7 linked regions of the Callithrix jacchus genome follow. The main gene of each other region encodes a partner of the protein of the gene in region 6 in a complex. Links are inferred from orthologs where the notes say so. Each region holds a gene or a part of one and is shown on either strand. Other genes may lie near its edges. The genes, in order: SOS1, RASA1, PLCE1, RASGRP4, GRB14, HRAS and MAPKAP1.

What was found.
Region 1: the proteins of HRAS (region 6) and SOS1 are in contact, whole or in part, in a crystal structure (PDB 4NYM), measured with the Homo sapiens proteins. The link is inferred for Callithrix jacchus from reciprocal best matches to the Homo sapiens genes HRAS and SOS1. Residues at the interface, in NP_001123914.1 of Homo sapiens: Gly13, Gly15, Ser17, Ala18, Thr20, Ile21, Gln25, Asp30, Glu31, Tyr32, Asp33, Pro34, Thr35, Glu37, Tyr40, Arg41, Asp54, Ile55, Leu56, Asp57, Thr58, Ala59, Gly60, Gln61, Glu63, Tyr64, Ser65, Ala66, Met67, Arg68; in NP_005624.2 of Homo sapiens: Glu589, Lys602, Trp809, Thr810, Lys814, Leu822, Met824, Ile825, Arg826, Thr828, Thr829, Thr832, Glu836, Asn869, Leu872, Val875, Ser876, Asn879, Ser880, Ser881, Tyr884, Ser908, Asp910, His911, Tyr912, Lys913, Leu916, Phe929, Phe930, Gly931.
Region 2: the proteins of HRAS (region 6) and RASA1 are in contact, whole or in part, in a crystal structure (PDB 8BOS), measured with the Homo sapiens proteins. The link is inferred for Callithrix jacchus from reciprocal best matches to the Homo sapiens genes HRAS and RASA1. Residues at the interface, in NP_001123914.1 of Homo sapiens: Gly12, Gly13, Ser17, Ile21, Gln25, Asp30, Glu31, Tyr32, Asp33, Pro34, Thr35, Ile36, Glu37, Asp38, Ser39, Tyr40, Arg41, Gln61, Glu62, Glu63, Tyr64, Ala66, Met67, Lys88, Lys117; in NP_002881.1 of Homo sapiens: Gly746, Arg749, Glu783, Thr785, Thr786, Arg789, Ala790, Thr791, Glu799, Lys803, Ser833, Arg894, Gly898, Phe901, Leu902, Arg903, Cys906, Pro907, Leu910, Asn911, Met914, Arg928, Ile931, Ala934, Lys935, Gln938, Asn939, Asn942, Val944, Ala948.
Region 3: the proteins of HRAS (region 6) and PLCE1 are in contact, whole or in part, in a crystal structure (PDB 2C5L), measured with the Homo sapiens proteins. The link is inferred for Callithrix jacchus from reciprocal best matches to the Homo sapiens genes HRAS and PLCE1. Residues at the interface, in NP_001123914.1 of Homo sapiens: Ile24, Gln25, His27, Val29, Glu31, Asp33, Ile36, Glu37, Asp38, Ser39, Tyr40, Arg41, Glu63, Tyr64; in NP_057425.3 of Homo sapiens: Phe2138, Pro2146, Glu2147, Gln2148, Pro2149, Arg2150, Thr2151, Val2152, Ile2153, Lys2154, Lys2171, Tyr2174, Ser2175.
Region 4: the proteins of HRAS (region 6) and RASGRP4 are in contact, whole or in part, in a crystal structure (PDB 6AXG), measured with the Homo sapiens proteins. The link is inferred for Callithrix jacchus from reciprocal best matches to the Homo sapiens genes HRAS and RASGRP4. Residues at the interface, in NP_001123914.1 of Homo sapiens: Glu3, Gly12, Gly13, Gly15, Ser17, Ala18, Ile21, Asp33, Pro34, Thr35, Ile36, Glu37, Tyr40, Arg41, Asp54, Leu56, Asp57, Ala59, Gly60, Gln61, Glu63, Tyr64, Ser65, Ala66, Met67, Arg68, Asp69, Gln70, Arg73, Thr74; in NP_733749.1 of Homo sapiens: Tyr228, Gly232, Val234, Val244, Asn248, Ser251, Asn288, Met291, Ala292, Gly295, Gly296, Cys298, His299, Ser300, Leu327, Ala328, Ser329, His330, Asn331, Asn332, Tyr333, Ala334, Arg337, Leu351, Gly352, Val353, Leu355, Lys356, Val359, Ser360.
Region 5: the proteins of HRAS (region 6) and GRB14 are in contact, whole or in part, in a crystal structure (PDB 4K81), measured with the Homo sapiens proteins. The link is inferred for Callithrix jacchus from reciprocal best matches to the Homo sapiens genes HRAS and GRB14. Residues at the interface, in NP_001123914.1 of Homo sapiens: Glu31, Asp33, Pro34, Ile36, Glu37, Asp38, Ser39, Tyr40, Arg41, Tyr64, Met67; in NP_004481.2 of Homo sapiens: Val109, Lys111, Asp116, Glu117, Thr118, Ser119, Arg120, Ala121, Leu122, Asp123, Lys140, His142.
Region 7: the proteins of HRAS (region 6) and MAPKAP1 are in contact, whole or in part, in a crystal structure (PDB 7VV8), measured with the Homo sapiens proteins. The link is inferred for Callithrix jacchus from reciprocal best matches to the Homo sapiens genes HRAS and MAPKAP1. Residues at the interface, in NP_001123914.1 of Homo sapiens: Gln25, Asp33, Ile36, Glu37, Asp38, Ser39, Tyr40, Arg41, Leu56, Glu63, Tyr64, Met67; in NP_001006618.1 of Homo sapiens: Glu277, Ser278, Phe280, Ala286, His287, Gly288, Phe289, Ser290, Leu291, Ile292, Gln293, Arg311, Arg312, Lys313.

The regions. Positions count from the first base shown.
Region 1 is NC_133515.1:75,898,175-75,902,292, reverse strand, and holds the start of SOS1 (son of sevenless homolog 1), read right to left. Parts: upstream 2,891-4,118; 5' UTR 2,455-2,890; coding exon 2,368-2,454; intron 1-2,367.
Region 2 is NC_133503.1:123,489,768-123,493,415, reverse strand, and holds part of RASA1 (ras GTPase-activating protein 1), read left to right. Parts: intron 1-17; coding exon 18-95; intron 96-2,840; coding exon 2,841-2,975; intron 2,976-3,055; exon of another isoform or gene 3,056-3,648. UniProt on the Homo sapiens protein: Inhibitory regulator of the Ras-cyclic AMP pathway. Stimulates the GTPase of normal but not oncogenic Ras p21; this stimulation may be further increased in the presence of NCK1.
Region 3 is NC_133513.1:86,752,907-86,756,554, reverse strand, and holds part of PLCE1 (1-phosphatidylinositol 4,5-bisphosphate phosphodiesterase epsilon-1), read right to left. Parts: intron 1,281-3,648; 5' UTR 918-1,280; coding exon 1-917. UniProt on the Homo sapiens protein: The production of the second messenger molecules diacylglycerol (DAG) and inositol 1,4,5-trisphosphate (IP3) is mediated by activated phosphatidylinositol-specific phospholipase C enzymes.
Region 4 is NC_133523.1:33,997,975-34,001,622, forward strand, and holds part of RASGRP4 (RAS guanyl-releasing protein 4), read right to left. Parts: intron 2,734-3,648; coding exon 2,653-2,733; intron 2,554-2,652; coding exon 2,449-2,553; intron 2,306-2,448; coding exon 2,187-2,305; intron 2,093-2,186; coding exon 1,948-2,092; intron 274-1,947; coding exon 237-273; intron 116-236; coding exon 1-115.
Region 5 is NC_133507.1:65,136,555-65,140,202, reverse strand, and holds part of GRB14 (growth factor receptor-bound protein 14), read right to left. Parts: intron 2,122-3,648; coding exon 2,011-2,121; intron 1,820-2,010; coding exon 1,724-1,819; intron 1-1,723. UniProt on the Homo sapiens protein: Adapter protein which modulates coupling of cell surface receptor kinases with specific signaling pathways. Binds to, and suppresses signals from, the activated insulin receptor (INSR). Potent inhibitor of insulin-stimulated MAPK3 phosphorylation.
Region 6 is NC_133511.1:131,356,676-131,360,811, reverse strand, and holds the start of HRAS (GTPase HRas), read right to left. Parts: upstream 2,862-4,136; 5' UTR 2,730-2,861; intron 1,985-2,729; exon of another isoform or gene 1,891-1,984; intron 1,748-1,890; 5' UTR 1,699-1,747; coding exon 1,588-1,698; intron 1,337-1,587; coding exon 1,158-1,336; intron 1,035-1,157; coding exon 875-1,034; intron 781-874; exon of another isoform or gene 699-780; intron 187-698; coding exon 67-186; 3' UTR 62-66; intron 1-61. UniProt on the Homo sapiens protein: Involved in the activation of Ras protein signal transduction. Ras proteins bind GDP/GTP and possess intrinsic GTPase activity.
Region 7 is NC_133502.1:174,287,632-174,291,874, forward strand, and holds the start of MAPKAP1 (target of rapamycin complex 2 subunit MAPKAP1), read right to left. Parts: upstream 2,904-4,243; 5' UTR 2,645-2,903; intron 719-2,644; 5' UTR 659-718; intron 1-658. UniProt on the Homo sapiens protein: Component of the mechanistic target of rapamycin complex 2 (mTORC2), which transduces signals from growth factors to pathways involved in proliferation, cytoskeletal organization, lipogenesis and anabolic output.

The sequences.
Region 1 (4,118 bases), on a different chromosome or scaffold from region 6:
TTAAAACTCACACAGCTAGGATGGGGCGCGAAAAGAAAACAAAGGAGTAATATCCAACTCAGCCCTGATGTGATAGTCCAGGTTGAGTAAGTCTAGAAGGATGAGTAGTGTTGGATCAGGCAAAGAAAGGTGAGGGGACTAGCATGTCCAAAGAGCCTCAGGTAAGAGTAAGAGAGCACAAGTTGGATGCATCTATAAATAATTCAATAGTGAATCAAAAGAAATCAAGATATGGAGATATCCACATGAAATGTCCAGCAGGCAGGTAAAAATGTAGGTTTGGAGCTACGGACAACATATCCAGATATGAAATACACTGTATTTTCAATCTTGTCTTAGAATCATAGTTATTGGCTATTTAAGAATTGGAAGAACCTTACACATTAGCTAGATTATGTATACTTCCACCTTCTTCTATCACTTACTGCAAAAGTATCTCTACCTTAAATTCAAAAGTTGGTTTACGTAAATAAACAAAGAGGACAAGTGGGGGTTGTGGTAAGGTGGAGATACATGCCTTGTCTAAAGAGGACAACCATTTACTCACCTCCAGCAGTTTAGTGCCTTGCTGGAATACAGGCCCTAACTAGCAAGAACTTCCTATTCTTCAAGAAAAGCTGAAAATTCAGATTTTATGTAATATCTCCCATTTTCAAATGCCAGCAACTAATTACATTTAAAAATAAAACAACACTGTGCCAGCCAAACAAAATGCTTCTAGGGACAGATTTCAGCAAGGGCCACCAGCATGGCAGAATTAAACAAGGTCTGTCAACTCCTACAGTATTCTTCCACTACTTCAAAAGATCCTAAGCTGATAGCTTGGTGATTCCCCCGGGATAGGAGCTGTTTTTGCCTCTAAGCAAAATGGCCCCTATTTGGCAATGCTTTATGAGTTCCTTTACAGGTTTTTAAACAATTTCCCTGTCTTCCCTTACCCTACCTGGACATCAGCTTCTGGCAGCACAGAGACCTCCTAAACCCCTTCCATTACACGCTAAGAAGTCAAACTTGCAGGTAAAGCAAAAGTAAGTAGTGAGAACCTGACGGGATTTCTAAGGATTAAAGTACATAAGACATATGGCGGCTGGGTGCAGTGGCTCACGCCTGTAATCCTAGCACTTTGGGAGGCCGAGGTGGGTGGATCACCTGAGGTCAGAAGTTCAAGACCAGCCTGGCCATCATGGTGAAACCCCATCTTATTTAAAAAAGAAAAGAAAAGGATATATGGCATCTTTTTGGTTTTCTTTAAAAAAAAAAAAAAGAAAAATCACATAGGTGTTCGTGACTAGTCAGACACCTGAAGGGGAAAATGTCAGTAACTTAAGTCAGAAATACATAAGCAAATTCTCCTAACAAACCAAATAGTTTCCACTGTAAGATAGCAAGAGGGACAAGAGAACAGGGCAAAGGGGAAAGTAAAAGTTACTGGCCTTTAAGCACTATCAGACACCTTTTAATGCTTAGCATAAAAGGTACAACATAATCTCCATTCTTAGTAGAAGCAAAACTATATGTTAACTAATTAACATGAAAGAGTCTTCGAGCAGCAAGAAACAGATTTAGAAACACTCTTAGATGAGTAAAGCAATCTTTGTAGAAAAGGTAAATGAAGAAAAGGAAACAAAAATAGTCTAGTACACTGTTGCTCTAGAAGCTTTAAAAATGTAACATTTCCTAATTATACTAAAACATTTAAAAACACAGCAAACTTAAACATACAAAGACTAAAAATTCTTAACAAGCCAAATGACAGCACCAAGAATCTCGAATGCCGCAAAAACAAAACAAAACCCCTGAAATTGGTAGCATGTGCACCAGCCCCTGTTAATCCGAGGAGCAGGGGAGATCAGGAGAACAGAGAGTGATTACTGAGGACGAGCGGAGCAGGCCACGCTCCTGCTGGCAGGCGAGCTCGCAATTCCTTAGAGCAAGCGTTACGGCCAGGGCATTCTCAAGCCACTAAAACGAGCATACTGGACACCTAAAACATGAGGCTGACAACAGCTCCGGGCTAAGACCGAGAAGGCGGAAAAGTGGCCTGCTTTGACCTCCACTGAAAACTGAGGCTTCTCCAACCGTTGTCTCGGAATCAAAGGGCAAAGCATTCACCTCTCGGGGTTGGATTATTCGGAGCAACTGCCCGCGGCTCCCCGCGGCCTTCCCACACTACGGGTGGATGTCAACACTGAGAGCCAGCCGTGTGGGGGACCTCCCCGTGTGCGCCGTCCTTTCGGAGACGCGGCGAGACAGGGAAGAAAGACGGCCCTGCGCGCGCGCCCCGCCTCCCCAGCCCTTCCCCTGCGCCTGCTCGGCGCCCGCGCTGGGGGGCTGCGGCCGGGAAGCGGGGTCCGGCGTGCTCCTCACCTTTTTCAGGGCAGGCACCAGCAGTCCTCGCCACTTGGGCGCGTTCTCTTCGCTGAAAAACTCGTAGGGCAGCTGCTGCGCCTGCATGGTGCCCCCAGGGCGCCTCTGGGCGGGGAGAGGGGCGGCGGCGGCCCGGCCGGGGAGCCGCGAGAGGGCGAGCTCGCTGCGCGGAATAGGGCCGCGGCCCCACCGGACGGCCCGGCCCCCTCCGGGCGCCGCGCAGCCGGGCTAGCCCTGGCGAGGGGGCTGAAGGGCGAGGCCCACGCCCAGCCACCCACCCGACACGGGTACTAGCCGTGGAGAACGAATGCGACCCGGAGGCGGCGGCATCCCGCACCACCGCCCCGGGGCCAGGCCCCCCCGCCCCTCCCTGGCCCGCCGGCGCCGCCCCGGGCGGCCCGCTACACCGCCGCCGCCTGCCGGGGCTGCACTCCCGGGTCCGGCCTGGCCCCGCGGCAGAGCTGGCGGCTGGGGGAGGACGTGTGGAGGGACGCTCTGGCCGCGGCGCCCGCTCCGCGCAGTTGAGACTCCGAAACGCAAGAGCCCTCGGGTGGGGCGGAGCTGGGGGAGGGGGTTTCGCGGGGAAGGGGAAGGACCCGAGGTCGTTGTTGGGGAATCTGGCTGCCCTGAGGTGCCGCCGCTGCCGCCGCCGGTGTAGCGCTGGAGCTTCCTACTAGCAAACTGAACCTGCGCGCTACTGAGCATGCGCTGCCGGGCTGGGCTGGTTCGCTCCGGGTTTTCCGGCTCCCGGTGAAGGAGGAGGGAAGCTGGGGGCGGGGGGAGTGGGGAAGGGAGGCAGGGCGCCTGACCGGGCTGTGGTTGCGCTCCTGGGGACTCCTGAGGAGGGGCGAAAGGGCCCGAGAAATCGAACCCTGGCAAAGTGGGGCCTGCAGAGGGGGTAAGAACTACGGTAAAGAAGCCCCCACTGTGTGGTCTAGCCGTGAGGGCTCCTACCCCTCTCTGAGTCCCTGGGCCTTTCGTTTCGGAAAGGGGCGTGTGTACTTTGTTCCCGAACACAAAGATAAGGACTGCCCAGCACGCAATGTATAGTAAACAGACCGGACAAAATATACAGGTGCTCTGTCTCGAAACCTACTGCTAAGTATCTGCTGGGCAATAGAAGTGATCGCAGTGTTTTTAACTGGTCTTTCCACGTCATCAAGAATAAAATGTGTACATGTAGTATTGATTTTCTGTGTGTGTTAGATTGCATTTGTTCATCTTTTCAACCCTCTCCAAATATGAATTCCAATAAGCACTTTCCTCCAATGGATACTGAGACCTCTTCTAAAGCTCCCAGAACACTGCACTTATTCCTCTCTCAGGGCATTTGGTCTATAGTGTTTTGTATCTTTTGTGGTTCTTTCAACTACATAATAAACTGGAAGGCAGATTTTTTTCACCAGGTCCTCCACACAGAACAGGCACTCAGTGAAAGTGGAATGCTAAAGGACCGGTATATATAAACTGTCCCTCCAGGCCACTGTTTATAATAGTGGCACTTTGTGGCAGACACCTCATGGTTTATCATTAATGATCACTTCTGGAGTATCATCTGATTTAATCCCCATAGCAACCCTATTATTTTCATTTCACCGATAAGAATGCAGTTTAGAGGAACTAGCTTGGGTTGAAGCTGACATTGTGTCCTGCTATTCCTAAGAACAACAGCCAGGATCACGTAGATGAGAAATGTTCAGTGGTTCATAATCTTTACAGGACCTCTGTGAAAATCTGAAAAAGAAAAAAAA
Region 2 (3,648 bases), on a different chromosome or scaffold from region 6:
GGCATTTTATTTTTTAGGAGCCCTACATGGAAGGTGTCAATCCATTCATCAAAAGCAACAAACATCGTATGATCATGTTTCTAGATGAACTTGGGGTATGTATATAATTTTTAGGTACTTTAAAATTTATAGTTAGTATAGCTGAGTTAACCCACTTAAGCAGCAACCTTTAGAAAGATTTTTCCATCCAGAACTAAAAAGACAAAAAGCCTGCAAATTTTTGTCTGCCTTCCTAAATAAAACAGTGCATTTTTGTTTGTAATTAATAGTTAACACCAAAGCATACATTACTCTTGGCTTTTGGACTACTTTCATCATATTTTAGGGTCTGTCTTGCCTTTCATATCCTTTTAAAGCTATCATATCTGACTGCCATGACATTCTGTTGAGTCCTACTTTGCTGCTACTATGTGGGGCTTGAAGCAAGACAATGACAGAGTTCTGACCAGGTTAAATAAATAGACTGAAGAGTGTTCTTTTCTAGAATAAAAGACATGAATTTGGTGTTATGCTTCATTGAGTGTGAATACCAATGCCTCATTTGGGCCTTGTTAATAAACTGTGATTACAAAATTATGAATGAGGATATTTTGTAATTTCTAGGACCCTGCATTTCTTAAGTTAAATTTTCATGATTGTATTTTCAGGTACTGAGTCAATTTTAAGCCAAACTAAACTTATTAGTAATTCAGTTCATATAAAGAGAAACCAGGAAGGTACATGTACACATGAATAGAGCCAGGTATATGGCGTGGCATTAGGGAGTGCCAGGATTGGAGACTGGGGTGTCCATCTTCCATCTTAATGCATTCAGATTCAGTTAAAAAGACCACCACGGCTGGGCGCGGTGGCTCACGCCTGTAATCCCAGTACTTTGGGAGGCCGAGGCGGGTGGATCACAAGGTCAAGGGATGGAGACCATCCTGGTCAACATGGTGAAACCCCGTCTCTACTAAAAATACAAAAAAAAATTAGCCGGGCATGGTGGCACGTGCCTGTAATCCCAGCTACTCAGGAGGCCAACGCAGGAGAATTGCCTGAACCCAGGAGGCAGAGGTTGCGGTGAGTCGAGATTGTGCCATTGCACTCCAGCCTGGTAACAAGAGCGAAACTTAGTCTCCAAAAAAAAAAAAAAAAAAAAAAAAGACCACCACAACCATACCACTGTGGCAAACAAATCAGGAATGCATGTAGGTCACAGGTTTGCAACCTCAGGTATAAAAACAAGTATATGAAAAATTATGGCATAGCTCTATCTTTATTGTGAAATTGACAAAAATGCTATAAGTTCATTCTTCTATATGTGAACTGGGATATAAGTGGTCAATCATTTGAAACCATTTTTCTGTAATGTTTAAAAGGAGCTGTGTGAGAAATTATGCCAAACAATCTAGGATTTCATACTGCTTAGAATCCAAATATAATATTCTGATTTTTTCACCATCCATATAAACCAAATTCACTTTTGATGACCCACCTTGATTATTATCTCCTTCAGGAAGCTTTTGCTGAGCCCCAAAGATGAATAAAATTTGTAACTTTTGTTTTACCTCCTAAGTATCCCCTGCATACCTGCAATACATAACTCTGTTGCTACAGTTACTTTTCTAAAGGCCTTTCTACTAGAGTCAGCTCTCTGAAGGCAAACTTGGTGTATGTCATCTCTGTAATCCTTTACTTGAATCACTAAATGAGTGTATTCTGCATAACTGTTTATTCTATAGAAAATATTGTTTTGCAGTTTTTAGTAATGTTAGGCAAATATTGTCCCCATTTTACTGGTAACCCAAGCCTTTGCTAAATGTTATTCCAAGGCTTAAAGTAGCATTGGCATTTAGTATTGATAATGGTACAGGTTGAGTATCCCTAATCCAAAATCTGAAATGCTAAAAAAGCCAAAACTTTTTGAGCACCAACAGGAAAGGCTACTTGGAAGTTCCAATTTTGGATTTTTGGATTGGGGATACTCAGCTGGCAAGTATACTGCAGATAAATATTCCAAAATCCTAAACACTTCTAGTCCCAAGCATTTTGGGTTAAGTGATATTCAACCTATACGATAAACTTTAATTCTAGTGACTTAAGTTACTTTATGAACCTTATCTAAAAGTATCATAATTAACACTGATTATTCCCACATGTTAGCAAGCATTCTGAGCAGAGTCCACAGATAATTGCAAACCTGACATATTCTCATTGCATTTTCATAGTGCAGCTCCTACTTATATACAGATCAATTCGGACTAACTACAGGAGCTTAATAATGGAATTTAGTCTAGGAATTTTAAGTTTAGGTTGAATTTAATCCAGATTAACAGTTAACCTATACTATTTGGTATATGTTCTAGATTTCAGATATAAATTGTTATGAAGCCACACCCTCCACCATTATTTTTAGAATAGCAATAATATTGTACCATATCCTGCCATTCTGTGGAAGAAAATGGAATCTGGCTTTCATATGAATAGAAAGGTTACAGAGTTTATACCATAATCAATGCTGAATGTTTCAGTAAGAATCTTTAGAATTTTAAGAGAAATCTGAGAATTAAAAAAAATTATCTAAAATACCCGATTAGAATCTTTTCACATGAGACTATAAAGATTTGTATTCCTAACAAAAAATTAGCCAGGCATGGTGGGGTGGGTTCTTGTAATCCCAGCTACTCAGAAGGCTGAGGCAGGAGAATTGCTTGAACCTGGGAGGCGGAGGTTGCAGTGAACCATGATGATGCCATTGAACTCCAGCCTGGACAACAAGAGTGAAACTCCATCTCAAAAAAAAAAATAAGATTTTTATTTTTTGTATTTCTAAATGCAATTTTATGATTCCCTTCAAGAATGTGCCTGAACTTCCGGACACTACAGAGCATCCTAGAACTGACCTGTCCCGTGATTTAGCAGCACTGCATGAGATTTGTGTGGCTCATTCAGATGAACTTCGAACACTCAGTAATGAGCGTGGTGCACAGCAGGTAAGTGTTTGCCAGCCTTCATTATCAGCGACATTTCAAGGGTTAACACTCTTGAGAGGTAATAAACAGCTGAATTCTGGTTAACATTTTTATCTGGTTATATTAAATTTTTGAGACTCTGAATCATATAACAAAAGATCTCAGCAGACAGAAATAACAGGCCCAAACTAAAATGATGTACATTTAAAACTGAAAAACATCTGATTTTGCTCTTAAGTCTGAATGTTGATTGTATGGGAAAACATTGTTAATATACTTTGGTGGCATATGTGAAAACTGCTAGTAAGTCAGTATTGATTTTTTTTCAGTTTGTGTCTTCTGTCATATACAGATACAGTGCATAACCAAAGTGATTCTGAAATTGTGAAACAAATTACTATTATTTGGGATGTTTGTCAGATTTCACATCCAGAGATTCTGAAGCGTGGCCTTGAAAACTGCACTTCTAACAAACTCTTACAGGAATTTATAGGGATTCACATGCAAGTGACCCATGGCCTACACTTTGGGAAACAGTAGACTTACATAGACTTCTGTCTGCCATCTGCACTAACCAGATACAGATTAGGATGTATTCAAAGAGGGACTAGAATTTCAAGGGATTTAAAACCAGGTCAATTAAGGTATTAGAACAAAATGAATTACATTTTGAATGTCTTCAGCTGACATAAGG
Region 3 (3,648 bases), on a different chromosome or scaffold from region 6:
TTATCAGGGAAGTCCTCAAAATGGCTCAAAAAGGTCTTGGCAGCTTGACTGTCACTAAAATCTTCCCTGGAAAAACTATCACTTGAATATACCAGATCAACCTTCTGGCAAGAGCCTTCAAAGCAAAAGTATTTTTCATTCAAGGTGTCACAATGATCACACTGCAACTGCTCATTCTTACTATCACAATTTTTTGCCAATTCCATTAGTTTACAGGTATATGCCACATAGTTTTTCTTTTGCTTCTCCTCACCCCTGGGTAGTGGTACACAATTTCCACAGTCATCTAAAATTAACTTTTCTGACAGGGTACAGAAAGTGTCTGACATTCTTCTGTCAACTTCATAATGAAAATGAAATACTGCCGTGCTGCTGTCAGGGTGTACTCTGTCTGTCTCTAGGATCGTCGACTGATTTCCCAAAGGACTAATGTCCATGGGAGGTCTGTCTAGTTCCAGTTGAATTCCAGGGAACACCGTTCTTCCCAGTGGAGAAGGAATTCCAGTTTCTAAACACAGGTCTTCCTCAGCAACAGAGTTGCGCATTTCATAAAACTGTCTCTGAGGAAGGCTATGCTGATGGTTTCTCAATATGTTGTTGCAGTTAATGTTAAGGTTTTTCACAGAATCTGGCATGCTTTTCTCCCAGCATTTTTCATTACTGTTCTCATCACTCACTATTTTCTCCCTTGCTACTGAGAGAATCTCTGGCAAGTTGCTTCCAGAAGATTCTTCTCTAAGTTTGTTCAGTCGTGAGATGGTATGAGAAGTCTGCTCAGTCTGTCTGACAGTATGTGCTTTTGGAATATTGATATCTGAGACCTTTTCACTACTTTCATCTGAAGCTGACTGGGCAGAAACAACTTTTCTCTGAGTCACAGGTATGAGAACAGAAGCTGTCATTTCTTCAGAAGTCATCTTGGACTAACACACAGGTTCCAGCTATTGCTCTATTTCTCTTCCCTGGTGATCATGTCAAGGTTTTAATAAAATGACTCATTATTATGACAATCTTAGACATACAACTCCTCCCAAGAAACAAAGGGATAGTTCCTTTCATTCAGGTGCATTAAGAGGAAAATAATTTTTCTCAATTATAACTTCTTATCATGAATATATATTTTTCTAGATCAGAGTTTTAAGATGGTAGATCAATTTTCTTTTCTCTGTTATCTGAAGCAAAATTTTTTGAAGACTGTTACTCAGGCTTGCACTCTGCAACTTCTGATACATCATTGACTTGCAATGATTTAAAAATCCAGTTTGAATGATTCCTGCATCCTGTAAGAAAAGAGATAATGTCAAACCACTGTGTCACTCAGTGAGTTTTTTTAAAAAATGAGCTCACACTCCCAAGATGTAGACAAATTTTGAGAAAAATGGTTGTTTTGTAATCAGAAGTTGGTTTTTATGTTTTTAGCAGTTATTTTTTTATTTAATATTTTAGAACTTCTGCTCCCAGCCAAAATGGAGTAACAAGGGCAGATTTATTCATCCACCTTAAATAACTAAAAATAAAAATTAAGAAAAAAATGGTTCTCAGACACTGAACAACAGGCAACACAGACATTGATCTCTGAAAGAAAAAAAAAAATGAAGTGAGTCCTAAAATGTCCTGGCTGGCTTACTTCTTAGAAAATTTCCAGGCTACAAGGTAGAAAAAGGAAACTCAGCTAAAATCCAGCTATTTACCTGCGTAGAAAAGAAAAAGTTGAGACTTCAGGAAGGCCGAGGAAGCTAGAGAAATAAGGCACATTAAGTAAAGAGGCACAGAGATAAGAATGGTGGCAGACATTTAATCAGAAACAATGCAAGCCAGAAGACAGTGGAGTAAATCTTCAAAGTACTGAAAGAAAAACTACTGTCAACTTCAAATTCTATACCCAGCAAAAATATCTTCTGCAAATAAAAATTAAGTAAAATATTTTCCAGACATATAAACCTGAAATAATTGGTAACTAACAGAACTGAACTGCTTGTAACTATTAATAGAGAGGGAATAAAACAATTTTCTATCCAATGTGGAAACACAATTATAAAGGATATACAAGACACTATGGGATTAGAGGGTGCTCATCATAAGCATGTCATTCTTTTTCAGGTAAAGCTGTTCCTCCCAAGACAAATAATGAGCAGTCACACTCTGCTGTCAACACCAGCTTGGCCTTGCCTTTTCTCTTTGTCAAATAGATATCTTTCTTTCCCTTTCTTCTCCCATACCCTCTTTCCCCAAAGAGTCATCAGCTCTCCCTTCTTTCCTTCCATATGTTTCCCTCAAGCACAAACACAGCTTCTCAGGTGAGAGGCTCCCAGTATATGCATATCTCTACAACTACTCTAAAAAAATCAGTGGACACTCTAGCATTCATATCTTTACAGGGAATAAACCAGCCCACACAGAGCAGCAGTGTCCTAGCTTAGCATCCTAATGAATCCTACCACACAGCAATAACTATTATCATTACTTTAAGAAACCTCCTTCCAGAACACTCCCTATGAATCAACATACATAGGGATATATGTATTTAACTATGCAAATACCAGATAATATTGGGCATTCTGTTCTGTACCTGCTTTAAAAATTCAAAGCATACCATGAACAACTTCTTAGGTGAAGAATTATATAGATAACTTTAATGGCATATGGCACTAACTTGAATTCAAATATTTGTTCTAATTTTTAAAGAGATTTTTCAGGCCACAGCCTTCAGATTGATGGCTAATATGTCCTTTCTTACCCATGAGGTAAATAAATTGAAGTTGGAGAGAGGGAAAACATTTTGGTGCTGTCTAGTTCCTGTCCTAAGGATGTTGCAATTATTTTTGTTAGCATTACAATTATCATCATCATTATAATTTTGAGACAGAGTCTCATTCTGATACAGAGTCCCAGGCTGAAGTACAGTGGCCCAATCACTACTCACTGCAACCTCTGCCTCCTGGATTCAGCAGTCACATACTGTTCCTTCTACCATATTCTCTATGTTAGAGGGAAATCACTAAGTATAATCCACATTCAAGGGGAACAGAATTAGGCTCTACCTTTTGAAGGGAGAGTATCAAAGAATTTGTGGACATATTTTAAAACCAGTCTGGGTTCAAGTGATCTTCCCACCTCAGCCTCCCAAGTAGGTGAGACTACAGCACAGTGCTTGGCTAATTTTTGTATTTTTTGGTAAAGACAGGGGTTCATCATGTTGGCCAGTCTGATCATGAACATCTGGGCTCAAGCAATCCTCCCACCTTAGCCTCCCAAAGTGCTGGAATTACAGGTGTGAGCCATTGTGCCTGGCAACTCTGCAATTATTATCTCGCATAATTCTCACTCAATGCTGCGAGATAGTATGATGGTTTTAAAATATGTCCACAAATTCTTTGATACTCCTCTCTTCAAAAGGTGGAGCCCAATTCCCCACCCCTTGGATGTGGGTTATACTTAGTGATTTCCCTCTAACATACAGAATATGGTAGAAGGAACAGTACATGACTGCTGAGAATGAGTCATAAAAGTCATTGGAGCTTCCTCCTTGCTGCTCCTCTCTCACATGCTCTGAGGGTAATCTGCTGCCATATTGTTAAGGAGAGATCCCTGTGACAAGTATGAAAGGTTCTTGATAACATCCATGTGAGTGTGAGCCATCTTGGAAGT
Region 4 (3,648 bases), on a different chromosome or scaffold from region 6:
GGCATGGGTGGGACAGGGGCTCCGGGGGGCCCGGCATCGCCCTTGGCCCCTGGCCTCTTCTTACACTCCACCTTCACCTGGTCTCTGCAGTGTTTGTGGCAACACAGACCGCACTCTGGGGGAAGGCAGCAGTTAATGGGAAGGCAGCAGTTAATGGCCGGATGTCCAATCTGTGCCGTGCGTTCTTCCAGCCCGTGGGCCAAGGCTTCCCTCCCACTCGCTGATGCCCCACTCACCCCGACAGCGGTAGCCTTGCTTAGTGACACCCCAGAGCTGGGAAGAGAAACCAGAAAAGGTTACAGAGAGGGAGGGCTGTGGATTGGCAGGGCAGCTGGGGAGTGGAAGTGTGGAAGCTACCCAGGTTTTGAAATTCTCAAGGCTAGAGATTTAATTGTAATTAAAGGAATGTGGGTGGGGTACAGTTGGTTTATGCCAGTAATCCCAGCACTTCGAAAGGCCAAGGTGAGAGGTTGGGAGGCCAAAGTGGGAGGATCGCTTGAGTCCAGGAGTTCAAGACCAGCCTGGGCAACATAGGGAGAACCCTGTCTCTACAAAAAGATTGTTTAAATTAGCCATTAGCTGGGCATAGTGGCGTACACCTGTAGCCCCAGCCACTTGGGAGGCTGAAGTAAGAGGATCAGCTGAAGTGAGAGGAGTTGGAGGCTGCAATGAACCACGATCACACCACTCCACTCCAGCCTGGGTGACAGAGCAAGACCATCTTTCATCTTTTAACAGAATAAATAAAGGGAACTTGGAGATTATCTCAAGTTTAGAGAATCACCTAGGATATTAGATTTAGTTAAAATTTCAAGTTACTAAAATGCAATTTTTGTTTTGTTTTGAGACACAGTTTTGCTCTTGTTGCCCAGGCTGGAGTGCAGTGGCTTGATCTGGGCTCACTACAGGGTCACCATCCCAGTTTCAAGCAATTCTCCTGCCTCAGCCTCCTGAGTTCAATTGATTCTCCTGCTTCAGCCTCCCGAGTAGCTGGGAATACAGGCATGTGTCACCATGCCCGGCTAATTTTGTAATTTTAGTAGAAACAGGGTTTCTCCATGCTAATCAGGCTGGTCTTGAACTCCCGACCTCAAGTGATCCCAGCTGGCCTAAAATGCAAATTCCTTGGGCAGGAATTATCTGCTGTATTCCTACTTTATCCCCACAGCCTTAGATTGCATGGCACACAGGAGGTGCTCAGTAATTATTTCGTGAATAAATAAATGAATGTGGGAAGTAATCCAGGGTTTGTGAATTAGTCTCTGGTTAGAGGTTGAGAGACTGATCCACTAGCCAGAGTATGAAGATATCTTGAATTTGGAAATTATTCAGGGTTGGAATGAACTGGAGTCTAGAGATTTGGAGGATGATGCTGTTTGAACATAGTCCACCCAGTTTTGGAGATTATCCAAGTTTTTTTTTGAGACACAGTCTCCCTCTGTCACCCAGGCTGGAGTGCAGTGGTGCAATCTTGGCTCACTGCAACCTCCACCTCCTGGGTTCAAGCAATTCTGTGATCCCTAGTAGCTCAGATCATAGGTGTGCACCACCACATGTGGCTAATTTTTATACTTTTAGAAGAGACAGGGTCTCGCTACGTTGCCTAGGCTGATCTTGAACTCTTGAGCTCAAGCAATCCACCCACGTCAGCCTCCCATAGTGCTGGGATTACAGGCGTGAGCCACCATTCCTGACCTCCTATCTAGAGTTTTAGATATTATCCGTGATTCAGTGATTTTTCTGGGGATGTGGATTATCTGGGATTTGGGGATTCTCTGGCATTTGGAGATTATCCAGGATATAGGGAATGTCTGGTGTTTAGGGTTTATATGAAACAGGATAATTCGAGGCTGGAGGATTTCTGGAATTTGGGGGTTTTCTGGGGCTTGGGGCTGCCGGCTCCAGGACAGATGGAACCTAAGAGTGGTGATGAGGCAGAGTGCTCACGAAGCCACTGCAGCTGTCGCAGAAGGTAGGCTTGCGGAAGGTGACCTCATGGAAGGTGTGCAGGAAGGCCAGGCCCAGCTTGGAGCAGATGGCACTGGCCCGGAGCAGGTACCCCATCAGCTCCTCTCTGCTGAAGGAGCCTCTCCTAGGGACAGAAAGTGAGCCTCAGCATGACCGGCCCCAAACTCCCCCAGACCTGGGAGTCATCTTCGGGTGATCCAGGAGCCAGAACCACTCACCCCTGGCGTGGGGGTGGGTGAAGCCCATGGCAGGCGAAGGGAAAATTGCCTGAGAGCCGCTCAAAGTCCTCCTGAGAGATGGTTCCTCGGCCTTCAGGGTCGTAATTCTTGAACACGGACTTCAGAGGAGTGTGGGGAAGCAGGTAAGGCCCAGTCAGGGAACTATGCTCCCCAGGGCTGCAAGTCCCCACCTCCAGGCTCAGGGTTCTACAGATGTCTTCCCTCCTGGCTCCTGGTGGCCAGGCCACCCTCCCCTCCTCACCTCCACCAGCTGCTCCACGTGCCGACCCAGTGTGACCCTGTCCGGCTTGGATGTCACACCAGGGGCCCACTCCATCACCAGAGGAGCTTTGAAGGGGGAGGGTGGCTGGGGCAGGGACAGAGGGGCAGAGTTAGTCACTGCATAGGCTCAGGGGAGTTGGAAGTAATTGTAGGAGGGGGTCCCAGGTTAGGGATTGGGTCTCACCAGACTCTTGGGACAGCGTGGCTCCCGGGCATAAGAGAGCTCATAGATCTCGTCCTCTGTGTAGAAGAGGTCCAGGGAGAGCTGCAGCAGACAGGAGTATTACAGCTCCGTCTATCAACAGCCCCGCCCGGCCCCCACACCCATTTGCAGGCTCTTCTCAAAGCCCCTCCTGGGGTCAAATCCTAGCATTACTGCTGTGGGACTGAGCAAGTGACTCCACCTCTCTGGGCCTCAGTTTCCCAGTTCACGGAATGGATACAGTAAGGGTCCCAACCTCATAAGGTTGTAAGATGGAATGAGGCTCCTGGCACATAGGCAATGATGAATAATTGTTATTAGCCTTTTGCTTAGATTCTTGGATATGTCAAAGTTTGAGATTTGGGGTTATCATCATGAGAAGCTCAGAACCTTGGGATTTAGGAATGTGAACCCCAGGCCAGGCGCGGTGGCTCATACCTGTAATCCCAGCACTTTAGGAGGCCAAGGTGGGCAGATCACCTGACATAGGGAATTCAAGACCAGCCTGACCAACATGGAGAAACCCTGTCTCTATTAAAAATACAAAATTAGCTGGGCATGGTGGCACATGCCTGTAATTCCAGCTACTCCGGAGGCTGAGGCAGGAGAATTCCTTGAACCTGGAGGCAGAAGTCGTAGTGAGGTGAGACTGCATCACAGCACTCCAGCCTCGGCAACAAGAGTGAAACTAAGTCTCAAAAAAAAAAAAAAAAATGTGAACCCCACAGCAATTCCAGAGCTCAGATCAATGGACAGTTGAGTCACTAGGGGAAGTGGGGAAGAAACATGTTACTTATATAGTAACTTATCTGCTCCATATACTGTCTTTTTTTTTTTTTTGAGACGGAGTTTCGCTCTTGTTACCCAGACTGGAGTGCAATGGCCCGATCTCGGCTCACCGCAACCTCCGCCTCCTGGGTTCAGGCAGTTCTCCTATCTCAGCCTCCCGAGTAGCTGGGATTACAGGCACGCGCCACC
Region 5 (3,648 bases), on a different chromosome or scaffold from region 6:
TGGAAAAATTGTTTATCTAACGTATAGATAGATATAGAGAAATATACAATGGAATAGTACACAGCCATAAAAAGGAATAAAGAGCTAATATACGCTTCAATGTTGGTGAACCACAAAACATTATGCTAAGCAAAAGTCAGAAGCAAAAGATCACATACTATATGATTCTATTTATATGAAATATCTACAATAGGTAAATCCACACAGACAGAGGCAAATTGTTGATTGCTAGGGCCTGGGAGTAACTGCTTAATGGGTGTGGAGTTTGCTTTTGAGGTGAATAAAATGCTTTGGAACTGAATGCACTAAATGCCACTGAATCACTTAAATTAACAATAGTTTGATTAATTATATATTTTGTGAATTTTGCCTCAGTTAAGAAATTACAAGAATACAAAATAAAACTTTCTTCTAAACCTGCTATGACAATAATTCTGATTATGACTATTCTGTCCTTCTTTACTCTGATCTCTCTTAAGTAGGATGCTAGGAAAATGATAACAGAGAGCAGAAGAGTTAAAAATGGCAAAGGCAGAACAAAAAAAGCACACCTAGAAAATACAAGAACTTCAAATCTATTGAAAAATTTACTGCATCCCCTTCTTCAGGGTAAATGAGACGAGGGAACCTAAAGACTTCACAATGCTCCAACTGTTCTGATTTTCATTTCTAACTATATTGAAAAGCTAGTTTTAGCCACACATTGTTAATAATCTAAATCTTCCTGTGGTGAGAAAAGGAATATATATATAACACACATATAATATGGATAGTCAATATATTGGCAAATTACATTAATGCCTAGGCATAAATGGTAAAAAGTATCTTAGAATATGTTAATGCTTTTATTATAAATCAAAATTTTAATAACAATAAAATATGTATTTTTTTGGCTTCAGCAGCAGTGATACTAACTAATGTGGATAGGTACATTTGGATTGTATCTTTTCAACAACAACAAACATTTTTTAATTTCTTCCCTAATTGTGTATACCAAACCAGTATCTTTAAAAAGAAATCATTGATAATTGTTATAAATATGAATTTTAAGTTTTGCTCAATTTACTGGCAAATAGTTTTCCAAACTAAATGTGTGTTCTATACATTCTGGAAGAAATCAGTTCTGCTTTTATTTCCTATGTGCATCTACTTTTACAATATTGTTACTTATTACAAAATTGTTCAGCAGCAACAAATTATGCTCACGGAAGTTGTAACTTCTACTTAGCACAAGAGTAGTTGTTTAAAAAATATATTCAAGTAAAATTGTGTAATAATTTGAGTCATGCTTATTAAACTAGAAAGCAATTTATATAACACAAATAGAACACAAAACAGTTACATTAAATATCTCAAGGATGGGCACATCTTAAACTATACTTTACCTTGGATCACAGGCAATGTTTTAAGAATGCAGACTAAGTCATGTATAGGAGACATTTCATTCAGTTATACTGGCTAATACCTTCACAAAAATAAAAATCAGAACATCTCTAGAAATGGAACACCTACTCCACACACAAAAGAGAAATGTATTAGGTTATTCCACTCTACTCTGAAAATGTTTATCATTTAGAATGCTAAAAGCACACACATTGGTGGTTATTTTACTTTTTTCTCATGTAGCCACTCAGTAAGACTTCATGTTCTGAAAAACTGATATTTTCTAACTTTTATGGTACTCACAGCATTTAATAGAAATTCATGCCTCCAGCGAGATTACCTTAAGCAATCTAATCGCGGTCACCCAGCACGTCCTACTCTGCTCTTCTTCTGCACAGAGCATTTTCAGGTCTCGGGGCCCTCCCGCTTTGTTAGGCTAGAAGGCCACAGCACATTGTTTATCGTTAATGCATATCTTGAAGGTAACACCTGTTGAAATAAAAGCCACTAAAATTCTCTTATATATAAGAGAAAGCTGTCTCTTTTTAAAAGAAATTAAAAGAAACTCAAGCTTACCTACAAGGCTGAGGCTTGCTTTATTCATCTATCAAAATATTAAGCCTGTACCTTAAAGCAGAATCCATAGTTAGTCGGTGCTCCATGTTTTTTTTTGCCTGCCGGTGACACATAAATATCACTATTGCCAAATTCAGTGAAAAACTGCAAATGCCGCGGTTCCTTAAAAAAAGTATTGAAATTGATACATATTTTTGCATTATATTTTTTGTGTGTTTTTATTATATAATATATACCTTGGGCAAAAACTTATGCCTAACAGAATTTCAGTATGATGCCACAAAAATAAAAGAAGAAAAACAAATATAAGTTACTATATCTTTAACCAGGAGCTGCATACAATTTTATTTAATTTGGAAAGTGACAATTTTGTTTATAATTTAACTTCCAATAATGAAAATAAATTTCTGTTTTAAACTTCCATTTCTCTTTAACCACCCTTTCAAGGAATCTGAGAGAGAAAAAAATGTTAGAAAAGATTGGCTTTGGGACATGTATTGCTTATCTAGGTTTCAAATAATGGTAGCTCAACAAAAGGGAGAAGGTTGGTTTGAGCTTCTGCAGCAGTTAGAGAAGAAAAAAAAGAACAAGACAATGATTCCTGCTTCATTCACACACAATATCCCTCACATTTGTGTACAGCACAACACACCACAGGAAGCAGCAACTGCAGGAATCTCTAACTTTATGAAAAGAAAGAAAGAAAGCAAGCCTGTACAGATAGAGGAGTTCAGGGAAATTAGCTGGCAGCAGAATGTTTCTGATTTTCAAGGCAAAGTGGAATCACGAACAGCTAGCTATTTCTTCTCTGGGAGATCCATGAGATTTAAAACTGGTCATGGGAAATCAGTAGGTCGTATTATTTTGTGATAGGTTAATAACTTGGAGAAGTGCTTAATTCTGAGGTTGAATGTATAATCAAAACTGACCAAAACGCATTTGTTCTCTAAAACCTTGCTGCTAGTAGTGTGGTCTCAGACCAGCAGCATCAGTATCACCTGGGAGCTTGTTAGAAATGCAAACTTTCAGGGCTCATCCCAGACCTACTAAATCAATATCTACATTTAACAAGATCCCAGGTGATTCATAAGCACTAAAATTTGAGGAGCAGTGCTAAAAAAAAACAATAAAAAATATTTAAAAACACCCCACAGAAGAATATTGAGCCAAACAGGCAATCCTATTCAAATCCGAAAACCAAAAGCCTTTTATTGTCACTTACTGGTGTTACTCCACTGCTGATAACTGGTAGAGCAAGAGTCTCTCTGTGTATCACTGTTCTTAAGCATTTTAATCTAATGAATGACTGTAGTTTCAAGAATAAGACAGAAAATTGTTTTAAAAAGACCCAGCATAGGACTCTTGGAACAAGGTAGGAGGAAGGAGAAAGGTACACATATTGCCATGCCTTTTAAAATCTTATTCCTTGATAGAAACTAATTTGAGAGTAAAAATGTCTGATTTCTATGAAGATAAAATAAAACCATCCCTGTCCACTGATGCTGTAGAACTCAGTATAGTTCAGTTATTCAAATGAGAGTATAGGGTAGCTTGAGGAACACTGGAAGAAGAAGCATGATGAGTTTTTTCTCTTGATTGGTTTTTGTTCCGCTACTGCAGACCTGCTAAGGCTTATGGCACTATAAGGCTATGAAACTGTATTGGCATGGTTAGCAAAATGTAAGTATG
Region 6 (4,136 bases):
GCAGGGGCAGGGAGCCGGGGCCATCCGGTGGGTGTGGTGGCCGCTCTGGGAGACACCTCACCTGTGTCAGGAGAGCACACACTTGCAGCTCATGCAGCCGGGGCCACTTTCGTCGGGAGGGTTCAGCTTCCGCAGCTTGTGCTGCCGAATCTCACGCACCAGCGTGTAAAAAGCATCCTCCACTCCCTGAGAAAAGAGGGATGGCATCAGGGGGGACCAGCCTGGGGCCCCCTGCCTGGGTGAGGGGGGCTCCCTGCTGTGGGATCAAGCCCTGCCTGGCCCGATGCTCCTGACTCCCCCAGCCACGTCCCCAGGCCCACCACACAGACAGGAAGCTGGGCTCTGATCATCTCGAAGCCCCCGGGGCCACCCCCATCACGATACAGCAGTTCCCTCAAAGGTCAGCATGGCCCAGGACCCTCCTGAACTCCAGGGCCAGGGTTTGACCACCCTGCACCCAGCTCTCATCTGAGCAGTGTCCCTGGCAGCCCCACTAAGGGCTCAGAACCAACGGATGCCCATGGGACACTATGGGGCAAAAGGGGCCGGGCCCTAGGGTCACCGCTCCGGCCTGGCTCAGGGCAGCTCTCTCCAAGGACCTCTGCCTCCCCAGAGCTGTGTCGGCCCAGGACTGCAGGGCGTGAGCCCAGGCCCCGGCCCTCGCCTCCCTCACTGCCCTGCCGTCCCGGGAGACTTACAGCGCAAGGGGCCGCTGGGTCACATGGGTCCCGGGGGGTCCCAGAGGGTCCCGGAGCTGGAGCCAGAGCCAGAGCGGCTGCCCTGTGTCAAGGGAGAGGGGTGAGTGAGTGCTGCTCCCTGGCTGGGGCGGGGCGGGCGAGTCCCTGGCTAGCAGCGGGGTGGAGAGCTGGCTCACCTGCCGCGTTTTGGCCGAGGTCTCGATGTAGGGGATGCCATAGCTTCGGGCGAGGTCCTGAGCCTGCCGAGACTCCACGGTGCGTGCAGCCAGGTCACACTTGTTCCCCACCAGCACCATGGGCACGTCGTCTGAGTCCTTCACCCGCTTGATCTGCTCCCTGAGAGACGAAAGGGGAGAGCTGGCAGGGGCTACAGGCACAGCTGCATCCAGGACAAGCACAGAGAAGACAGGAGGCCCCCATCGTCCGGCACGGCCCACCTGGGCCAGCCTCGTGGTTCACCTGTACTGGTGGATGTCCTCGAAGGACTTGGTGTTGTTGATGGCGAAGACACACAGGAAGCCCTCCCCAGTGCGCATGTACTGGTCCCGCATGGCGCTGTACTCCTCCTGGCCGGCCGTGTCCAGGATGTCCAGCAGGCATGTCTCCCCATCAATGACCACCTGCTTCCGGTAGGAGTCCTGCAGGAGGACATGGCTCAGGGACCCCCTCAGGACCCTCCTTGGAGGGAATTCACACTGCCAGCCCCTCCCTCCTACCTCGCATGCCCCTTCTCAGAGGTGCTGAGATGAGGGGCTCCCCTCCTCTGGGGGAAGCAGGAGACAGGCCCACACCACCATACAGGGCCAGGAGCTGCAGCCACCCCATCCTGGCCGTGTTCTGGGCCCTCCCACAGCGGCTGTGGAGGCCTGGACAGCGAGGCCAGGCTCACCTCTATCGTGGGGTCATATTCATCCACGAAGTGGTTCTGGATCAGCTGGATGGTCAGGGCACTCTTTCCCACGCCACCGGCGCCCACCACCACGAGCTTATATTCTGTCATCGCTCCTCAGGGCCTGCAGCCCGGGGTGCTGCAGGGTCTCCTGCCCCACCTGCCAAGGAGGGCCCTGCTCAGCCAGGCCCAGGCCCCACAGGGCAGCTGCTGGCAGGGCCATCTGAAGGGCAAACCCACAGAGGGCCCTGGGCCCCAACACTGGGGCGGCAGCGGTGGCAGCAACGACAGCAGCGTGCCTACCTGCGCGGCTGCGACCCCGCGGGTGGGGGTGTCGTCTTGTCCCCGCCTGCTCTTAATGACCCAGTGAGGCGAAAGGGAGCCGGCCCCCAAAGGCAGGGCTGACCGCTGAGCACTCTCAACCACGCACCCAAATTAGAAGCTGCTGGGTCGGCAGAAAGGCTAACGCCAGGCGCCCGAGGGCTGAGGTTACCGTCCCCCGGAACAGGTCTGGCCACGGCGGAGCGCGCCACGGCGTGCCCGGGCAAGCCAATGCCAGCCCGCAGGCCCCGCGGCGCTGGTGCCTCGGACAAGTATTTGCTGAGCGCCTACTGCGTGCCAGGTGCCGCTGGGGGGAGGGCAGACCCGGGCAGCGCCCCGCGCCCCCGGCGGGGATCCCGGGCATCCAGCAGAAGAAAGCTGGAGAAGACGGACGGGCAGGGCTCCCGGGAACAGGGGCCGAGAGGCGGCGCGGGAGCCCCGGAGGGGGCAAGGCCCTGGGGCTGAGGGCCCCGGCCTGGCCCACGACCTGTGATGCTGAATGCGGGTGCCCGGGCGGGCCGTGGCCGCCTCCGCCCAGACGCGCCGGGCCCGAGGCTCCAGGGGACGCCGGCGTGGGGACCGCGCTCAGCGCGAGGCCACGGGCGGGGCTCCGGCTCCCGCAAGCCCCAGGGAGGACGGGGTTCGAGCTCGCCCCCGCCCCCGCAGCCCCCGACGCAGGCTCACCTGTGCCCGCGGCCCCCGCCCGCCCGCCGCAGCCGGTCACGCCCGCCAGCCCCGCGCCCCCGGCCCGCGCCGCGCGTAGAGCCGCCGCCTGGGGGCGGGGAGAGCGCGCCGCCCGGCAGACCCCCGCCCGCACTCACCGCTCACTGGCGCGACTGCCCCCGGGGCCGGGGCCGGGGCGGGGCGGGGCGGGGGCGGGGACGCGCGACTCGCCCCGCGCATGGGCTCCGTCCGCGGCGGGTGCGGCTCGGGCTGCGGGCGGCGAAGACTCTGCCGGGCCCGCGCACGCCCCGCCCCGCGCCCGTCCGTCAGCCCGACGCGGCCTACCATTGGCCGCGCTCCAGGGGGCCCCGCCCCGCCCCGGTTGGCTGAGCGGCCCGTCTGTCAGGAGCCGCCGTCGGGCGGGGCTTCCGGGAGCAACGCGGGAGGTGGAGCCAGGGGGACCGAGGCCTCGCTGGGAGGCCTCGCTGGGGTGGGCTCGACCGGCGCGCGGAGCCGCGCTGTGGGGTGCACGAGGAGGGCGAGGAGCCGGCGTCTGGGACCCCCGGACTCTCCCAGGAACACGCCGGTGAGAGAGCCCGACTCAGCGGCGCCCGTGGCTCCGAGCCCTTCCCTGCGCGGCGCCGCCCACCGCGGAGGTCTCTGGGCTCCGGGCTGAGAAAAGGCCGGGATCCACCGGGACCAGGGCCGGCCGCTCGGAGCTGGGGACCCCCGAGGCCGCGCCCTCCGGTTGCCCGGCTCCCCTTCCGCGCAGCTGGAGCGGTGCGCTCGGCGCCTCCCCCGTGCACACCCCGGCTCCCCTGGTCCGCCCGCAGCCCACCCCGATCACGGCCCCTCCACCGCCTTCCTCTAACTTGGGCCTGCTGAGAGGCGACCCTGCCCGCCCAGTCCCCCCAAACTTGAGGGTCCAGTTAAACCGCAGCCAGGAATTGCCGTCGGGGAGCGAAGTGCCCGGGGCCCACCCCAAGCAACAAAAGCGCACGTCCCAGCTCCTTTCAGACTCAAAAGGGCGTGTTTTTAACATCTCTTAACATTGCAAAGGAATTAGAAACACATCATCAATAAAAAACAACAGGCGGGCGGGGCGCGGTGCTCAGGCCTGTAGTCCCCGCACTCGGGAGGCTGAGGAGGGCGGATCACCCGAGGTCAGGACTTCAAGACCGGCCTGGCCAATATGGTGAAGACCCGTCTCTACTAAAAATACAAAACATGAGCCGGGCGTGGTGGCGCTTGACTGTAGTCCCAGCTACTCGGGAGGCTGAGGCAGGAGAATCGCTTAAACCCCGGAGGTGGAGGTTGCGGTGAGCCGCGATCGCGCCATTGCGCCCCAGCCTGGGCAACGGAGCGAGACTCTGTCTCCAAAAAAAAAAGGGCGGGTGGTTTAGTCCCGCAAACCCTGCCTCTGCCGGGCCCTAGCGCCCGCCCCGCCGCCACGCCCTCCCGCGCTGGTCGCTGCTATCCCCGGGCTCCACCCACGGGGGGTCCCGGGGGTCCCGCCTGTCGTCCGTCCACTACGCGGTCGCAGTCAGCGCCCGGCTGGGGAAGGA
Region 7 (4,243 bases), on a different chromosome or scaffold from region 6:
TGAATCATAGATCCTCAAAGTGTTTATTAACTGGAAAAGTTATTAGCAGAAACTGGAATTTACCTCTCTTGCCTAGTACTCAGCCCTCACTAACTCTGACCCCTACTGCCCCTCCAACTTTCCATCCTTTACCCTGCTAAAAGAAGCAATGACTTGCTTGACTCAGGCTGTAAACTCATTCACCACTCTAAAACCATACCTCAAGCATTATACCTTTGTATCTTATAGCTATTTATTTTGGGGGACTTTACCATGTACCAGGCCCTCTATCCCCGTTAGTTCAATAAATATTCACAACACTCCATGTGGTATTATTCCCTAACCCAACCCCCAGCTGAAGAAAATGATGCTTGGAGTTATGTGTCAAAGGTCACATATCCAGTAAGAACAGGGACCGGGAATTGAATCCAGACTCCATGCTTATTTTCTATACTGTCTTCTCTGCTCATATTCAAAGCTGAGCTAATCCACCTGCCATCTCCTTGCCCTGGAAGAGCACAGCCTTTGCATTTAAAAGATTTCTGTACCATTCATTTTAACATTCATATGTTTCATCCTGTATACTTTTTTGTTTCAATATTTACTTGCACAAAGAGACAGTGTGAGACAAAGGCAAGACATGTAATGGAAAAAGCACAGATTTAGGCATCAGACAGACCTGGCTTTGAATCCTGGCTCTGTCTGGTACCAGCTGTGTAATTTATTGAGTCTTCCTCATCTGTAAATTGAGGTTAAAATGATTAAACAATAGAAATCCCTATATAATACCCAATACATAGTAAATACTCAAAGTTGAGTTTACCTCAAATTATAAAGCATTACCTGGCCACATCCCATCCCTCAAAAGTGAATAACCCATTCCCCTCCTGGACTACCACTGCCACAACAAGAACTCTCACACAATGTACTTATCACTGTTAGAATTATTAATTTCCCTTATCTCTGTTTCACTACATTGAGCTCCCTGGAAGCAAGGACTGAATCTTATTTATCTCTACACTGTCTAGCATGGTACCTGGCATGTATATATCCATACTTAGTAAACATTTACTAAATTAAATAATTGTAGATAAAATGAGTGCTTATAGAATTCTGTAGGAAAACCATTTCCAGCTGGAGTTGTCGGGAATTGGTTGAGAGCAGCCAACTTCAGCTGAGCCGTGGGAAGCATCTTGATAGAGAAAAGGGGAAACCTAGGCAGGGTAGGGAGAATGTCCTAAAAAATCAATGGAACAAGAAAGAACAAAAGTGACTGAGATCCTACTTAGAGTAATGGATCAGGTAGGGTAATTAAAGAAGGAGACCTTGACCAGACACGGTGGCTCATGCCTGTAATCCCAACACTTTGGGAGGCCAAGGCAGACCACCTGAAGTTGGGAGTTTGAGACCAGGCTGACCAATATGGAGAACCCCATATCTACTAAAAATACAAAATTAGCCAGGTGTGGTGGCGCACGCCTGTACCAGTTACTCGAGAGGCTGAGGCAGCAGAATTGCTTAAACATAGGAGGCGGAGGCTGCAGTGAGCGCCATTGCACTCCAGCCTGGCAACAAGAGCTACACTCCCTCTCAAAAAAGAAAACCTTTTCAAGCATAACTGGGAAGGTAACCAGGAGCCAGATTCCGAGATGTAAGGGAATATAAGTGCAGTCTGGTACACACAGTATTTAAAGTAGGCATGAGCACTCAGCTGAATGGGAAAGGGCTACCAGCATGCTTCACATCCCGCAGCTGTGTGAACTGAAAAACATGAAAACAATTATTGCTTCATCAAGAACTCTTTCAGTGTTTACTAGGCACCTTGTATGGGCTCATAAAATATAAAGAATAAAACGGTACCTCCCATTCTGCTCAAGTGGGTTTTAACATTAGGAATCCACCCCTTCTGCTTGTCAAGAGAATGAGAACGCTGCTTTTTTTAAACCGATGTGTCTCCATTTGACTGTTCACACCTGGGAAAGTTTTGAACTTTGCCGATTTGGGTTTATAACAATATGGTGCTTTGCACAGTGCCAGAAGCTGTGGTGGGCTTCAAAAGTTACTTTTCACTCATTCAAAAGGAAATTTTAACCAATTTCTGGGTTGATTTGGGGGTCTCTGGTTAAAATCATACTCTTGTTTACACCACAAGCTCTTCTTTTCCCCCCGCCTTAAACAAATCTAAAGGACTCCTTGCCACTCCCATAAACAAACAATTGAATCAAAGTTCAGCAGCACTGTAGTTGCGAGGCTGTTAACCCCTTTAGGGCGAGGAGGAAAAGGGACACAAGGAAAAAGGACCACACAGGCAATGCTTGAAAACCTTGATTTTCACATTATAAAGACCAGGGCACCTAGATATTGCCAAGTGCAAGACCAGAAACTGCCGGAGCCAACTGCACCCTCCCCACCCCGCCCCCGCTACTCCCGAACACTACCAGGTCCATGGGCTTCCCTTCCCCTAAATCACACACCCGCCTCAGACTCCTGACAGTCCCCAGTTCTGGTAAAGGCCAGGAAACGGATGCTCCCGGGCCACCTGAGCAGGAGCCCGGCAGGCGGCCCGCTGAGCAGCGCCGAAACCGGAGAGGTGAGAGGGTCGCCAGGTGGGCAAGCTGGTGGGCTGACGGGCGAGCGGGGAGCTGGCGGCTGGGGCAACCTTTACCTGAAGCTGCTTCCACACTACGGGCCGGGTCGGCCCCGGGACACGTTCCTGAGGGGAGGGCCCGGCTCCCCCACGCCTCCCGGCCCCTTCCCCGAGCTCTGCACTCTCGGGATCCACGGGGACCGGCGCTCCTCCCGGCCCGCTCAGCTGCCGCTTCCCGGGTTCGCCCTCATGCCCGTGGTGCTCACAACCGCCGCCGCCGGCCGGCCGAGCAGCAGCCCTATTACCCCAAGCCGCACACGACCCGGAACCACACCCCGGCGCTCCGGAAGTCCCCGACCGGGAAGGAGCCTCTGGCTGGGGACGTAGTGCGCAAGCCCCAGAGCTGAAAGCAAGCGGCCACAGCTTCCCGCGGGGCGGGGCCGGGAGGGAGGCCGGGCGCATGCGCGCCGCTTCTCCAATGCAGGAGAAGGCCTGAGTCTGAGGCTGAATTCTGGCAAGATGCACTCGTGTCTGGATTTGCCTTTAGCAGGAATCAGTGTTACGCTTCTCCATCGAATCTTCTTTCTCCCCATTTCCACGGAGAAAAACCCTTAGTTAGTCCAGAAATGAGTGATGAGGCAGTTTAGCCTCTGTATCAGAAAGACTTAGGTTCAGATATGCCAGCTCTTATAACTTGCTGTGTGTCCTAGGACGTGACAACTCTCCTCTCCGAGCCTCGGGTTTTCCCATCCAGAGCAATAGTTTCAACTTTAGAGTATCCAATGGGATGATGCTTGAAAATCACCCAGCACAGTGCCTGATACATAATAAACATGTAGTCAATGTTAGTTATTTCTCTTATAATACCTGTAATATGGCGGTGATAGTAATCTTCCTCAGGTCCTGCTGGGAGATTTCCATGAGATGCAGGAGGACTGGCACAGGCAGAAGTTAGTGTTGTCTCACGCTGCTCTCTTTCTCTCTCACGGAGGAAATCAGTGGAGAAAGCCACAGTGAAGGGGGAAAAAGGATTCGGGCAGTGCAGTGAGAGTGTTCTCCCACCCGAAAGATGCTCTGGGAAGTCTCTCAAAAAAGCACCGTAGCGTGGCTGGGGGTGGTGGCTCATACCTATAATCCCAGCACTTTTTGAGGCCAAGGTGGGTGGATCACGAGGTCAGGAGTTCAAGGCCAGCCTGGCCAAGATGGTTAAAACCCCCGTCTCTACTAAAGATACCAAAATAAATAAATAAATAAATAAATTAGCTGGGCGTGCTGGTGAGGGCCTGTAATCCAAGCTAATTGGGAGGCTGAGAGGCAGGAGAATCGCTTGAACTTAGGTGGCAGCAGTTGCAGTGAGCCGAGGTTGCAGCGAGCCGGGATTGTGCCACTGCACTCCAACCTGGGCAACAGAGTGAGACTCCATCTCAAAAAAAAAAAAAAGCACCATAGTAAAAGAAAAAAATCAAGGTTAAATTTCAGTCCTGGGGGAACCCTGCCCAATTTTAAAGTCACTAATAAATATGCCATGGGGCCAGGCACGGTGGCTCACACCTGTAATCCCAGCACTTGGGGAAGCCGAGGCAGGCAAGTCACTTGAGGTCAGGAGTTTGAGACCAGCCAGGCCAATATGGTGAAACCCCATTTCTACTGAAATTACATAAATTAGCCAGGTGTGGT